3 linked regions of the Xenopus tropicalis genome follow. The protein of the gene in region 3 binds, or shares a complex with, the protein of the main gene of each other region. Links are inferred from orthologs where the notes say so. Each region holds a gene or a part of one and is shown on either strand. Other genes may lie near its edges. The genes, in order: flt4, kdr and vegfc.

Evidence for each region.
Region 1: the proteins of vegfc (region 3) and flt4 are in contact, whole or in part, in a crystal structure (PDB 4BSK), measured with the Homo sapiens proteins. The link is inferred for Xenopus tropicalis from reciprocal best matches to the Homo sapiens genes VEGFC and FLT4. Residues at the interface, in NP_005420.1 of Homo sapiens: Leu119, Asp123, Trp126, Gln130, Asn167, Arg210; in NP_891555.2 of Homo sapiens: Gln172, His199, Asp200, Ala201, Leu202, Tyr203.
Region 2: the proteins of vegfc (region 3) and kdr are in contact, whole or in part, in a crystal structure (PDB 2X1W), measured with the Homo sapiens proteins. The link is inferred for Xenopus tropicalis from reciprocal best matches to the Homo sapiens genes VEGFC and KDR. Residues at the interface, in NP_005420.1 of Homo sapiens: Thr148, Asn149, Phe151, Lys153, Phe186, Ile188, Val190, Pro191, Leu192, Gln194, Pro196; in NP_002244.1 of Homo sapiens: Val135, Tyr137, Ile215, Val216, Val217, Val218, Asn253, Val254, Gly255, Ile256, Asp257, Phe258, Asn274, Arg275, Asp276, Phe288, Leu289, Ser310, Ser311, Gly312.

The regions. Positions count from the first base shown.
Region 1 is NC_030679.2:20,222,846-20,226,501, forward strand, and holds part of flt4 (vascular endothelial growth factor receptor 3), read left to right. Parts: intron 1-146; coding exon 147-415; intron 416-3,572; coding exon 3,573-3,656. UniProt on the Homo sapiens protein: Tyrosine-protein kinase that acts as a cell-surface receptor for VEGFC and VEGFD, and plays an essential role in adult lymphangiogenesis and in the development of the vascular network and the cardiovascular system during embryonic development.
Region 2 is NC_030677.2:40,288,243-40,291,898, forward strand, and holds part of kdr (vascular endothelial growth factor receptor 2), read right to left. Parts: intron 3,214-3,656; coding exon 3,105-3,213; intron 2,762-3,104; coding exon 2,417-2,761; intron 2,303-2,416; coding exon 2,156-2,302; intron 1,936-2,155; coding exon 1,804-1,935; intron 959-1,803; coding exon 852-958; intron 470-851; coding exon 334-469; intron 64-333; coding exon 1-63. UniProt on the Homo sapiens protein: Tyrosine-protein kinase that acts as a cell-surface receptor for VEGFA, VEGFC and VEGFD. Plays an essential role in the regulation of angiogenesis, vascular development, vascular permeability, and embryonic hematopoiesis.
Region 3 is NC_030677.2:47,628,518-47,632,173, reverse strand, and holds part of vegfc (vascular endothelial growth factor C), read right to left. Parts: intron 1,386-3,656; coding exon 1,184-1,385; intron 731-1,183; coding exon 540-730; intron 1-539. UniProt on the Homo sapiens protein: Growth factor active in angiogenesis, and endothelial cell growth, stimulating their proliferation and migration and also has effects on the permeability of blood vessels.

The sequences.
Region 1 (3,656 bases), on a different chromosome or scaffold from region 3:
TTATTTTATACTTTCTTCTATTTCACTCTTAGTGTGGGTGGGGAAAGTCAAGAATGGATACCTTAACATTAAAAGTATGTGTAGTCAAGTTCTTCATGTTTATGTTACATTTTAACAAATACAATTGTCTGCTTATTGATTTCTAGGGGACAAAGGCCCCTGCAGTGGTCTTGGCCAGGGGGTTTTACAGACACAGATACAAAGGACAAAGACTCCAAAGTGACTATAAATTTCAGTGATACACGCAGTGTGGCTGAGGAAGACTGTGAGGGGATTCCTAGCAAACCTTACTGCAAGGTGTTCAGGCTGACAGGAGCTAGGGCTAACGACACAGGCTCTTACTGGTGCCACTACAAATTTATCAACGTCAGGATCAAAGGGACCACAGCTGCCAGCGTCCATGTCTTTGTAAGAGGTAGGTGGACAAAAACAGTATATTTCAATAAAGTTCTGTTATGTGGAAGAGAAAGAAATGTGCCAGAGAAAAGATCTGATATTTTAATGTATGAAGACCCCCACTACTGTGAACTACAGCTATATTTTCTACTAGCTACTAAGAAGATGTGTTCTAGAATCTTTATTCTCATGAAAATAATTATTAAAATCCTTTTTTGAAAGATAACATTTATGGCTGGAAAAATATCAAAAGATGGGGGAAGTGGTTAATTTATGAACCAAGTTCTAAGTACTTTAAAATATAATTCAGTTTTATTACTCTGCTTGTTACACTGCTTATTCATCCATCACCCACTACTGTGTTGCACTCAGGTTCTATGGCTGAATGCCTTGCCTCAATAGTAAGGATCCTATTTTAAGATGCAAGATATCTATGCTGTAATCAGGGCCGCAGAAACTCTGGGGTTACAAACCACTATAGGATACTTACATGGCCTTTTAGGAGTCCCAAGCACAGGTCTGCACTTAAATGGATGTTTATCTTCAGGCAATAGTGCCCCTGTCAGATCACTGCTGCTAAAACACTCTCTGTTTTGCTCTCTCTGTAAGGGATTTCTTAGACTAAGACTAATAAATAATAAAGATGATTTATCATAATCAGTTTTTTCTGATGGGGCTGTTCAAATTCAGACTGTTGTTGTAAGGTGAACATCCCCTTTATAAGTAAAGTTTTAGCTTCATATAAGCTACCACTGTTGGGAAGGATAACTATGACCTTCCCTTTGCCCTACCCCAGCCTTCCTGCATTCAAAACAGTAGAGAGGACATGATCTGCTGAAATTGTGCTGTGGTCAGTTATAAAATGACCATTGATGGATCTCTATATAATGCTGCAGTAGTATTCCTTTAACTGTGCTCATATCCTATAATAAAAATATCATTAAACTATGTCAGCATTTCCCCATGATGAGCAAAGTTCTGCATGTGTAGCATATAGTATCTCTTTAAGAGGATTAAATGTTTGTTACAGATTTCAGTACGTTTTTAGTTGATCTTCATGTATGTTTTTGAACTTTCTGCATTCCTGTCTTGCTTGCAACTGGAAACACAAGTGGAGCTCATTTATAAACAATGGGCAAATTTACACCTAAGCAGTAACACATAGCAACCAATCGGTGATTGGATTTTTCATTCAGCTGCAGGTTAAACGCTGAAAGAAATCGCCTGATTGATTGTCGTGAGTTACAACCCAGGTGCAATTTAGCCCAGTCTAATCTATTGTGAAGCTACAATGTTATTGCTATTTTGATTGATTTTTACTAATGCTCCCCTCTTCTATTGATCTTTCATTTTGACAGCCAGGGCCAGAACCAGTGTCGGACTGAGATGGCAGGGGCCCAATAGAAAACCCTGGGCAAAGGGCCCACTCTCAAAACTTTAATTGCTCCTCTACTCCTTCAAACTCTTTATTCTCCGAGTCTCTTTTCTCTACATACTATCCTCTCTTCTTCCATCTATCAAGCTTCCTTGTTCGCATACAGAAATAGGGCTAAATAGATAGAAGCAAGAGGGCCCACTGACACTTGGGCCCACCGGGAGTTTTCCTGGTATCCTGGTAGGCCAGTCCAACACTGGCCAGAACTAGGGGTAGACAGAAGAGGAATGTACCTAGTGTGCAACTGTTGGTGGCGCTAGGCATGTACCGCTTTAACATACCCCTAGTTCAGACCCTTGTCCCTCCACACCCGCAGGTCCCCCTCATCTTACTGTATATGTGGATATAGTTTTTCATGTACTGCAGAAGAAGGACAACCAGAATTTTCTTAACTTTTAGGGAAAACCCAGCAAAAAGACAGAACAGTTTTGTTTATTAGCTAAGCCCATTTCTTTTATTAATACTATATAATTCTCTTGAGAATTTATTACATACTGTATTTTTCTAAAATGTCTGGAATTTTTTCTTGGTGGATAAGGAGGTCACGTAGAAAATGAGAAACTAGAGAGGTTCATGTGCGCTCAGTGCATCCAGTGGTTTCGTGTTCATGTGCTTTACATTATAAGAAATCCTTGGGCCACTGGTGTGCACATTAAAATAAACAATATCTGTACCGGTCGTTCAGGACATAATGTTAACTGAAACATAAACAATTTAAGATTGAAATTCTTCAAACTAGATTTAAATGGATTTTGCATCATTCAGGCCAAGAGTCCAGGCTCTTTTCATTATTATTATTACTACAGTTTGTATTGCTTAGATCAAGTTTTTCCAAATCGGCCCACAAGAACAATTTACCTGCCAGAGATTTGAGGGGTCATTTACAATTTGCTTTTTGCGATCAACATCACATGCTTTTTGCAGAGTCACCCTGCCCTGCACCTTTCCCATGAATACATTGTTACCTGCATTCTTCAGTGCTCTATTCATAAGGAGCAGGTGGGGGGAGGCCCCTGTCTGCTCCTTAACTTGCATTCAGATGCACAAGTTATGGACTATTTTTCTACCTACCTTCCCATGGCAGTGGAAGAATAGAGCTGTGTTTCATCTGCCTTCAGTGCTGATATGCCCCTTTTATGTGTGCTTTAAGAATGAGCACTAAGGGGCTTGTTTTTGTGCCCCTCAGTGCTCCTTCACCCACGGCAAGGGGAATATTTATCTAGGTTTTATCTAGTTTGATTTTTTTTTTTGACGATTTTGCACTTAAAAAACACGAATTCGAATTATGTTTCAAAAACTTGTCTGGTTTTTATTAAGTGCAAAAAACTCAAAAACTCAAATGTAAAAATTCTAAAAGCTTCAAAGTTTCTATTGACGTCAATGATATTCGGGTTTTTTTTACTGGAACAAGTTTTCCTCATTAATAAATGAGCGAGAATTTGATATGTGAGTTTATTTGATTTAAAAAAAAACAAACAAATTCAAATTCACAAATTCAACAAACTGATAAATAAGCCCTCTAGTATTGCAATTTTCCAAACCCACGCTGACTTCTTGCCCTGCTGTCTCTGATCTATTTAACCCTCCATGTGCAGTTAGTTGTCTGTTTTCACATCTGCCAGCAACAACTCTCTAAAACTGGAATGCTTTTTTGTGGGGATAGAAATAACTTTCTAAATTTTGGGGGGATAGTATAAACTTTCTAGCTTTTCCGACCTACATATTTTCATTGTGTCTTTAGACTGGGAGCAGCCATTTATAAACACTCTTGGGGCATTGCTGGTATATAAGGAGAAAACTAGAGTGCCATGCCTCGTGTCAATTC
Region 2 (3,656 bases), about 7.3 Mb from region 3:
TGTCTATTCCAAAGGCATCAGCTTCCAAGACTTGTCCAAAAGCCCCACGACCAAGTGGCTTCCCTAGAACAGAAAATATCACATTTAACACAATTTTATTTTTTTGGAGATTTAAAACAGAAACAGAGTTTAAAAAATACAATTCTATTCTGAAATAAGCCAAAAAACTGTATGTAAAGAGTGTGTGTATACAAACAGAACATGATTCAGTAAGATGTATCTGTGAAGAATATTATAAATAATAAAAAACTATTTAACATAACATTTACTTTACATCATTTCAACACAAAATTGCATAATTGACATAAATATTAATGCAACTCAAAAATGCACCTAATTTGAGACGATCTCTCGGGAACTCCCACTTGCTGGCATCATAAGAAAGCCGCTCACACTGTTCCTCTATAGGAACTTCACCAGGGTCCATAATGATTGACAAATAGCCAGCCTTAAGCTCCCCTCCATTGGGCTGAAAAAGAGTAATTTCGGACACATGAGTTGGACATAACATTGTACAACAGGACAGAGTGACTAACTGGAGACCTTCGGAACTGTTATCACTTAAACATACAGTCACCCATGCATCTAAAGCAATGCCCAGTGGTTCATAATTAATGTATTTGACTAATTCATGCAAAGAATCCTCAAGAATCTCTCCAAGGGCAATCACAATTAAACTGAAATGACTTCATACTTAGCAAACCATGCAGAGGTTTTCTGCTATGCAAAGGAAAAAAAGTGTCTGTTGATTTGAGGACAATGAGAATGAGAAACACAATAGCCCCTCAGTCAGATTTCATTTGTCATGCCGGGCAAATACAAATGGCACAGTAGGAAAACAGTTTCATTACCCTCTTTACGGTCCGGAGGATGATTACGAGAAGCACCCAAAAAAACATGGCAATGATTCCGGTGCCAACCAGAATAATGAGCTCCAGATTTGTTTTCTCGTCTGTGCCTATGGAGAGACAATTGAACGTTTGACTGCTCGTGTCACAGCTCACTGTGTTATGGGAACTGTACTTTCTCCAAACATGTTTAATTACCGAAGCCCTTAAAGGGAAGATAAAGGCTTCCCACAACGTTTAGATGTTCTGTAAGAATCCTTAAGAATAAGACATTTAGACACTGTAGTAGCTAATATTTTTCTGTACTGTGTAGGAGCTCCTGCCACATCTGACAGCAGTATCTGAATTAATGTTAAAATCAACCCAGCTGCTGGCCAGTTTCTGTCCTCTCAGCAGCAAGAACCATCGTACACATGATGCCTAGCAGAGATTCTCTCTAAAGCATTATTACACCATCCCTAAACTTTGTGGAAAGCCTTTACTTTCCCTTTATGAAAGCATAGGAAAATGAATGATAAGGTTTTGGTATTTATACTTCTATAAATGACACAGGTATATTTTACATGTTTTCATGAGCGTAGAAATAATATTAAATCATTCTAGAATGACTTCTGTAAATGGACTGTGATAGTTATTCTTAACTTATGGCAGGTATACTCATACAACAGGTATCAGGCGGTATTTGCACTACACCCTGCTAAACAGGTTCTAATGGATGTACTACTGAGCAACTTAGGTCGACGGCACTAAGGGATTTTTGCCCACAAGTGTAGAACAGCATGATGGAGAGGGGGTTTGAACCACTATAGTGAGGTCCCATACAAATGTTTACAAGTCCTTAAACTTTTACAAACTCATTTAGAGTGCAGCTGCAAATAACTGTAAACCTGAATTAGTTTAAAATCTCCAAAAAATCATAAATAGACAATGGGGATATGTGGCAATCTACACTTACCATTTACTGTGAAGTACATTTCTGACTTTGTACATCCCAAGTCATTACAAGCCCTGCAAGAATAGATTCCTTCGTCTTCCTTCCGAACTCTCTGGATAGTCAAAGTCCTATTATGGTCTTTTAAAATAATGCCTAAAATTAATAAAAATGTGATTAACTGTATGGCACAACCTCACTTTGCACAAGAAAGCTGGTCATTTACAAAGATAATACATCAAAACTAAGGATTTCTAATCAACTTTATGGCAGAGTATATAAAATCTATGACCAGGAGAAACTCAGTATAGTTATGCAGTCAGTTCAAGTCCAAATTATACATTTTAACACATTGTATTTATTATTAGACTATCACCTGAGTCTTCTACAAGGCTGTCATCATCCTTAAACCAAATGATTTGCGGATCAGGCGTTCCAGAGGCCTGACATTTCACTACCACCGTTTCACTGACATTTCTAGTTTGGTTTTTCAGGTCCTGGTAGATAAAGGGAACTTTTTGTGCTGTGTATAGATAATACAGGAGAAACATATTAGTTGTTGTTTCATTAACGAAACAGTAGAAATGTTTATTCATTGTTCAGTTTTTATGACAGGCTCTTTTTTAATGTCCCATACCTTGTATTCTTATGTGTCTGATCAAACAATATTTTTTCTGGGTCTTTTTGTCTTGTGCAACACAAACATAGTTTCCTTGTTCACGCATTGATATGTTATGCAGGACCAGGGCCGAGGTCACGTTGTCTCCATTGGTATTTGTAGTTGTGGCATGCATTCTAACCAGGCCAACAAGGTTTTTGCACACTGGTATTGGCCATCCCATATGATGCTTTTCCACTGTGCTGGGACTAAGCTTGAACCACATGACATTCCCATAAGTAAACTTGTCAGCTGTGCATATTAATGTTATGTTGTCCCGCTCAGTGAGCTTGCTGTTCGGCTGCATGTCAATTTCTAGGCCTCCTAAAAAAATAAGTCAATTATTTTTTGTTATATAGATTTGCTTACTTATACTGCAGTTTAAAACCTAAGAACAAATATCAGGTAAGCCTAGATATAGAAAGCAGTAGTGTCAAAGCTGCAAGTCTTTGTAATAGACAACCTTAGCACATGCAGGTACCTTGTGGTTGGCTTAGGATGCTGAGATTTTAGAAGGGTTTGCTACATTTCTATTAAAGATCTTTGTAGGCCACCACGGAACATTTATGCAACAAAAGTCAAAGATGATGTAGTTTATCTACAATGAAAGTCACATGCTATCTTTATCCACTGCAAGATTTACTCTGCCCATTATACCCAAACTTACTGGTAACATGGAAAGAGATCACATGCTCATCCTCTCCTGCTTGGTTTGTGGCTGAGCATCGGTACAGAGAAGATACTCTGGCTGAGTGAATGACCAGTTTACTCACAGTCTGATAAAACAAAAGAATCATCCCATAAAGCATCCACTATTATTATTCAAACCTCTTAAAAGACATACAAACAGGTTCAACCTACCTATCAAGTCACTAGAGGTTAGCTAGGCAATCCTCTAAACAGGCCGCTAACATAGCACTCCAAGTTGCCATAAGTAGATGCTACTGATGTCTGTGGTGAGTGACCAAGCTCATACAAGGAATATTATAGTCCCACTATATATATATATATATATATATATATATATATATATATATATATATATATAAAATCTACTTCAAACAGTACTTGATTGTGTGAACACAGCATTCATTAGGGCTGATTCACTAAAGTGTGTTAATTTTTATCGCACGCTTTTTTGCGTTAAAATAGACGCGAAAATTAACGCGTGATTCACTATAGTATTACCACGTGTGTTAAGTCGCACATCGCATGTGGT
Region 3 (3,656 bases):
TGTCAAAATAGATATTGCTTTGATTAAGAATCAAAAAATATAGGATTAATGAATGTTCTAAAATATAGTTAACAGATGAAGACTGTTTTTATTTTAAAGGTAAAGGAACAGCAAAAATGTTAAGCTATTTTGCTATTCTTCTTAGTGCTGAGCTCTAACACCCTTCAGAATTGTTAAGCCTTGTTTATTAATATATTTGATTACTGTTACCACTTGACAAATACATTTTAGGGCAATACTAACTCCAATACAATAGTTAATTAAATATCCAACTTCAATATACCTAACAAGATTCAGAACATATTTCTTTGCAGTGGGTAAGTTGACCTTAGCATAGCCTGACATTTAGCAGAGAGAAGGGAGATGAAAATTTTACAAAGACCATTTCATTTTTCTTTGATCTTCAGTAGGGTGCAAATCCCTGCCAAATGAAGCATATCCTTGTAAAAAAAAAAAAAAAGAATTCTGAATAATTGAGAATGAATTCTGCAATGTGTTGTATGCCCTATAAAGAAGATATGCATATCTATAAAACTTACAGTTTTGCTGACAAAAGTTGAGCTGGTGTTCATACAGTGCAACCCTTCACTGTTACAGCAACCCCCACATCTGTAGACGGATACACACGGGGGTTTAAAGAAGGTGTTTGTTGGTGCTCCAAATTCTTTCCCTACATCCACACATACTTCCCGGGGAATGCACTGAGTTTTTCTCCACTCATTTTCAATACCTGCCAAGGTATAGGGATAAAGAGGGATAAATTGTTATTAGCATGATGACAATAACGATGATAACAGCAAGAAGGAGTTTTTTAATTTGCCTGAATACGGCAAGAATGACCTAAACAGATATCAAACCAAATATAAATACTGTAGTAAGTTGGATATTCAAAATCCCAATTGAAAAGAGTATTTTATAATCAATTACACTTTCAAAAATATTGTCTACAAAAAGAAACTTTTGTCAAGAAATTCAATTTAAAAAAAAAAATTAATTCTTAGAACACTGAGAGACCAGTGTAGAATGGAACTTTTTGCCTTCCATTGCCTTCCGACACCTAGAGCTTCACTTCTGAAAAAGACTGATGTACCGTTGATGACGGTAGAGTTTTTTCTTCTAATTAAATAGAATTTGATCTGTATGATGAGTGGATGTGCCACTTTCACACTTCTCATTAACTTACTTTTCCAGATTTCAGCATTGTAATTATAATGAGCAGCCGCAAATGTAAAACTGTCTTCTCTCCTAGTGTCATATCCTGTGCTGCCTCCTTGTCGTAGCTGGCACTTAAACATTTTCCAGGATTCGGGGTAGAGGAGAGTCATTAGTTCATCCACACTGGACACTGACCTCAGCTGCTCTTCCAGTTCTCTTCCTGGCTGATCCTTTCAAACAAAAAATAAAGACAATTTACCTTCACAACCCCTTCTCTACTTAATAACGATACCAATAAAGATGACATTGTTAATGGCAAATACATTTTACGTTTATGTGGGGAGTAAATCTCAATTACAGGCACTTCATTCTGGTTGCTGCCAGAGAAAGTGTGTGCTTTAGGAAAGAGAACTCCACAAAATTTAGTCTCCCCTGAAAACAACCCAACAAATGGAAACACTTATTATTATTAGTGGTTTGAGGGGGTTAGTATAAAATAAACGTATATGGTTGCTATCTCATTCCGTTATTATTTTGCAGATATGAAACACATATATTGAAAAAAATACATTAAAGGGATTAGGGATGCACTGAATCCACTATTTTCGTTTTCGTTCAAAACCTTCATAAAGAATTCCGAATCTGAATTTACATATGTAGAGAAGAGTGCGTGCAGCGGAAAATTTTCAACTTCTGCGTTTATGTGACAAAAAGTCACATGATTTTAAGAATTCGGTTTGGCCAGGAGCGTGGATTCGCCCAAATCTGAATCCTGCTGAAAAAGGCCAAATCTCGGGTGAATCTCGAACCGAACCCTTGATTTGGTGCATCCCTAAAAAACAGGCTAGAGTCCTGCATGGGTCAAATTTTTTAAAACTGTGATCAAGACCCACAACCTGCATTTTAACCCGCTACCCGCAGAAAACCATTGAGCTGGAAGTGGACTGGGGCATAAAAACAGGGGACAAAAAAGGTGTAAAGGTGTACAACTTGCTATATGTAATACCCGCAATCCAACCCGCAGAGCAGATCTCCTATCCACACCTGTAGGTACCTGACCTCTGCAGGCAACACTATTACACATTACAGTCACAACTTTCTTACAGTATGTAGATTTCATAAAAGGCAGCAGCCAGTATAAAATGTATAAAATACATTTGTATAAATGTATTTTATAGCACCCACAACAGTCCTCTCTGAATAGGAAAAAAATTCCACGTAGGAATAGACTTGTTTCTGAGGTTGCATTATATACTGAAATTATGAAATATATGCAACCCTACACTGGGTACATTTCATGACAATTTACAATGTAATTTGTTTGTTCTAGTCCACTGGTTGGAGTGACTGAGGCAAGATGAAAGCTCTAAAAATAAATAATGCTCTAAAACAGGGCTGTCCAACTGGAGGCCAGCGGGCCGATGTGGCCCTTCAAAGGATTTTTATGGCCCCCAGCCTGCTCAGGTGATCCACAGACTATATTATGTGACATGGTCATTTTCATTGAATTCGACTCTCCAACATGCTGTACAAGATATAACTGGCCCACTACATGTAATTAGTTGGACAGCACTGGTCTAAAACAATAATGACAGGACTCATTTTAGTAATGTAAGTGCAAAGCTTAACACCTAGCACAAAACTGCATGCATATTTAAAAGCTATTCACAAGCTATTAATTATATCCCAGTGGGCAACTTCAAGCTTCCCTTACCATATGTGCCAGAAGAAAAATGTATGGTGTGGGCATCAGGCAGTGAAAGGAGTGTGACCTCTGAACACTTTACCACCAATGTTTTGATGAAAATAAAAAGCTCTGAGCTGGCAGTGAGGGGAAGGGGAGAGCATGTGTTCTGGAATTTAACTACTATAAATAAAAAATGGTTGGACACTGTGGCCCCTACTGAATGGCTACCGATTTATTCTACAGGTATTTGATCTATCATATGGAATTTATTAACCCAAATGCTCTGAAACAAAGCTTTGCCATTCCCCACAGAGGTGAATGTAAACAAAATATGTTATAACAAGATCTCACTTTACTGGTTTCCTCCATTGAATTAGTTTATAAAAGAGAATATATCAAAGAATAAATGCATTTTTACAAATAAGGTATAGTTCCCCCTTAAGCAGGCAGTGTTGCCCACTTAGTTATTAAAAGAGTTTGCATATCAACTTGTGAACTTGTAAAATTCTCAGTCATTTGTTGCATTCAGCATGTAGTTGGTTTCTGGCATGCCTTTTTATGCAGCACTCCCATGTTAAAGTAATTTACAGAAATGATTATGAGAATGACATTGCCTTTTGGAGATCCTTGTCAAGTCATGTATTTCCCTGCACAATGTTCCAGATTTCAACGAAAGATCACAGCGCAGGCTTCCCTATTAAATGTGTTTAATGTGTCTGCATTAAGGCTATTTAAAGCCCTGTGTATAATTGGCAAGAATTTAAACTATGCCAAAAAGAGAAAAAAATGCATTCTGCTGATGAGTGGCCAAAGC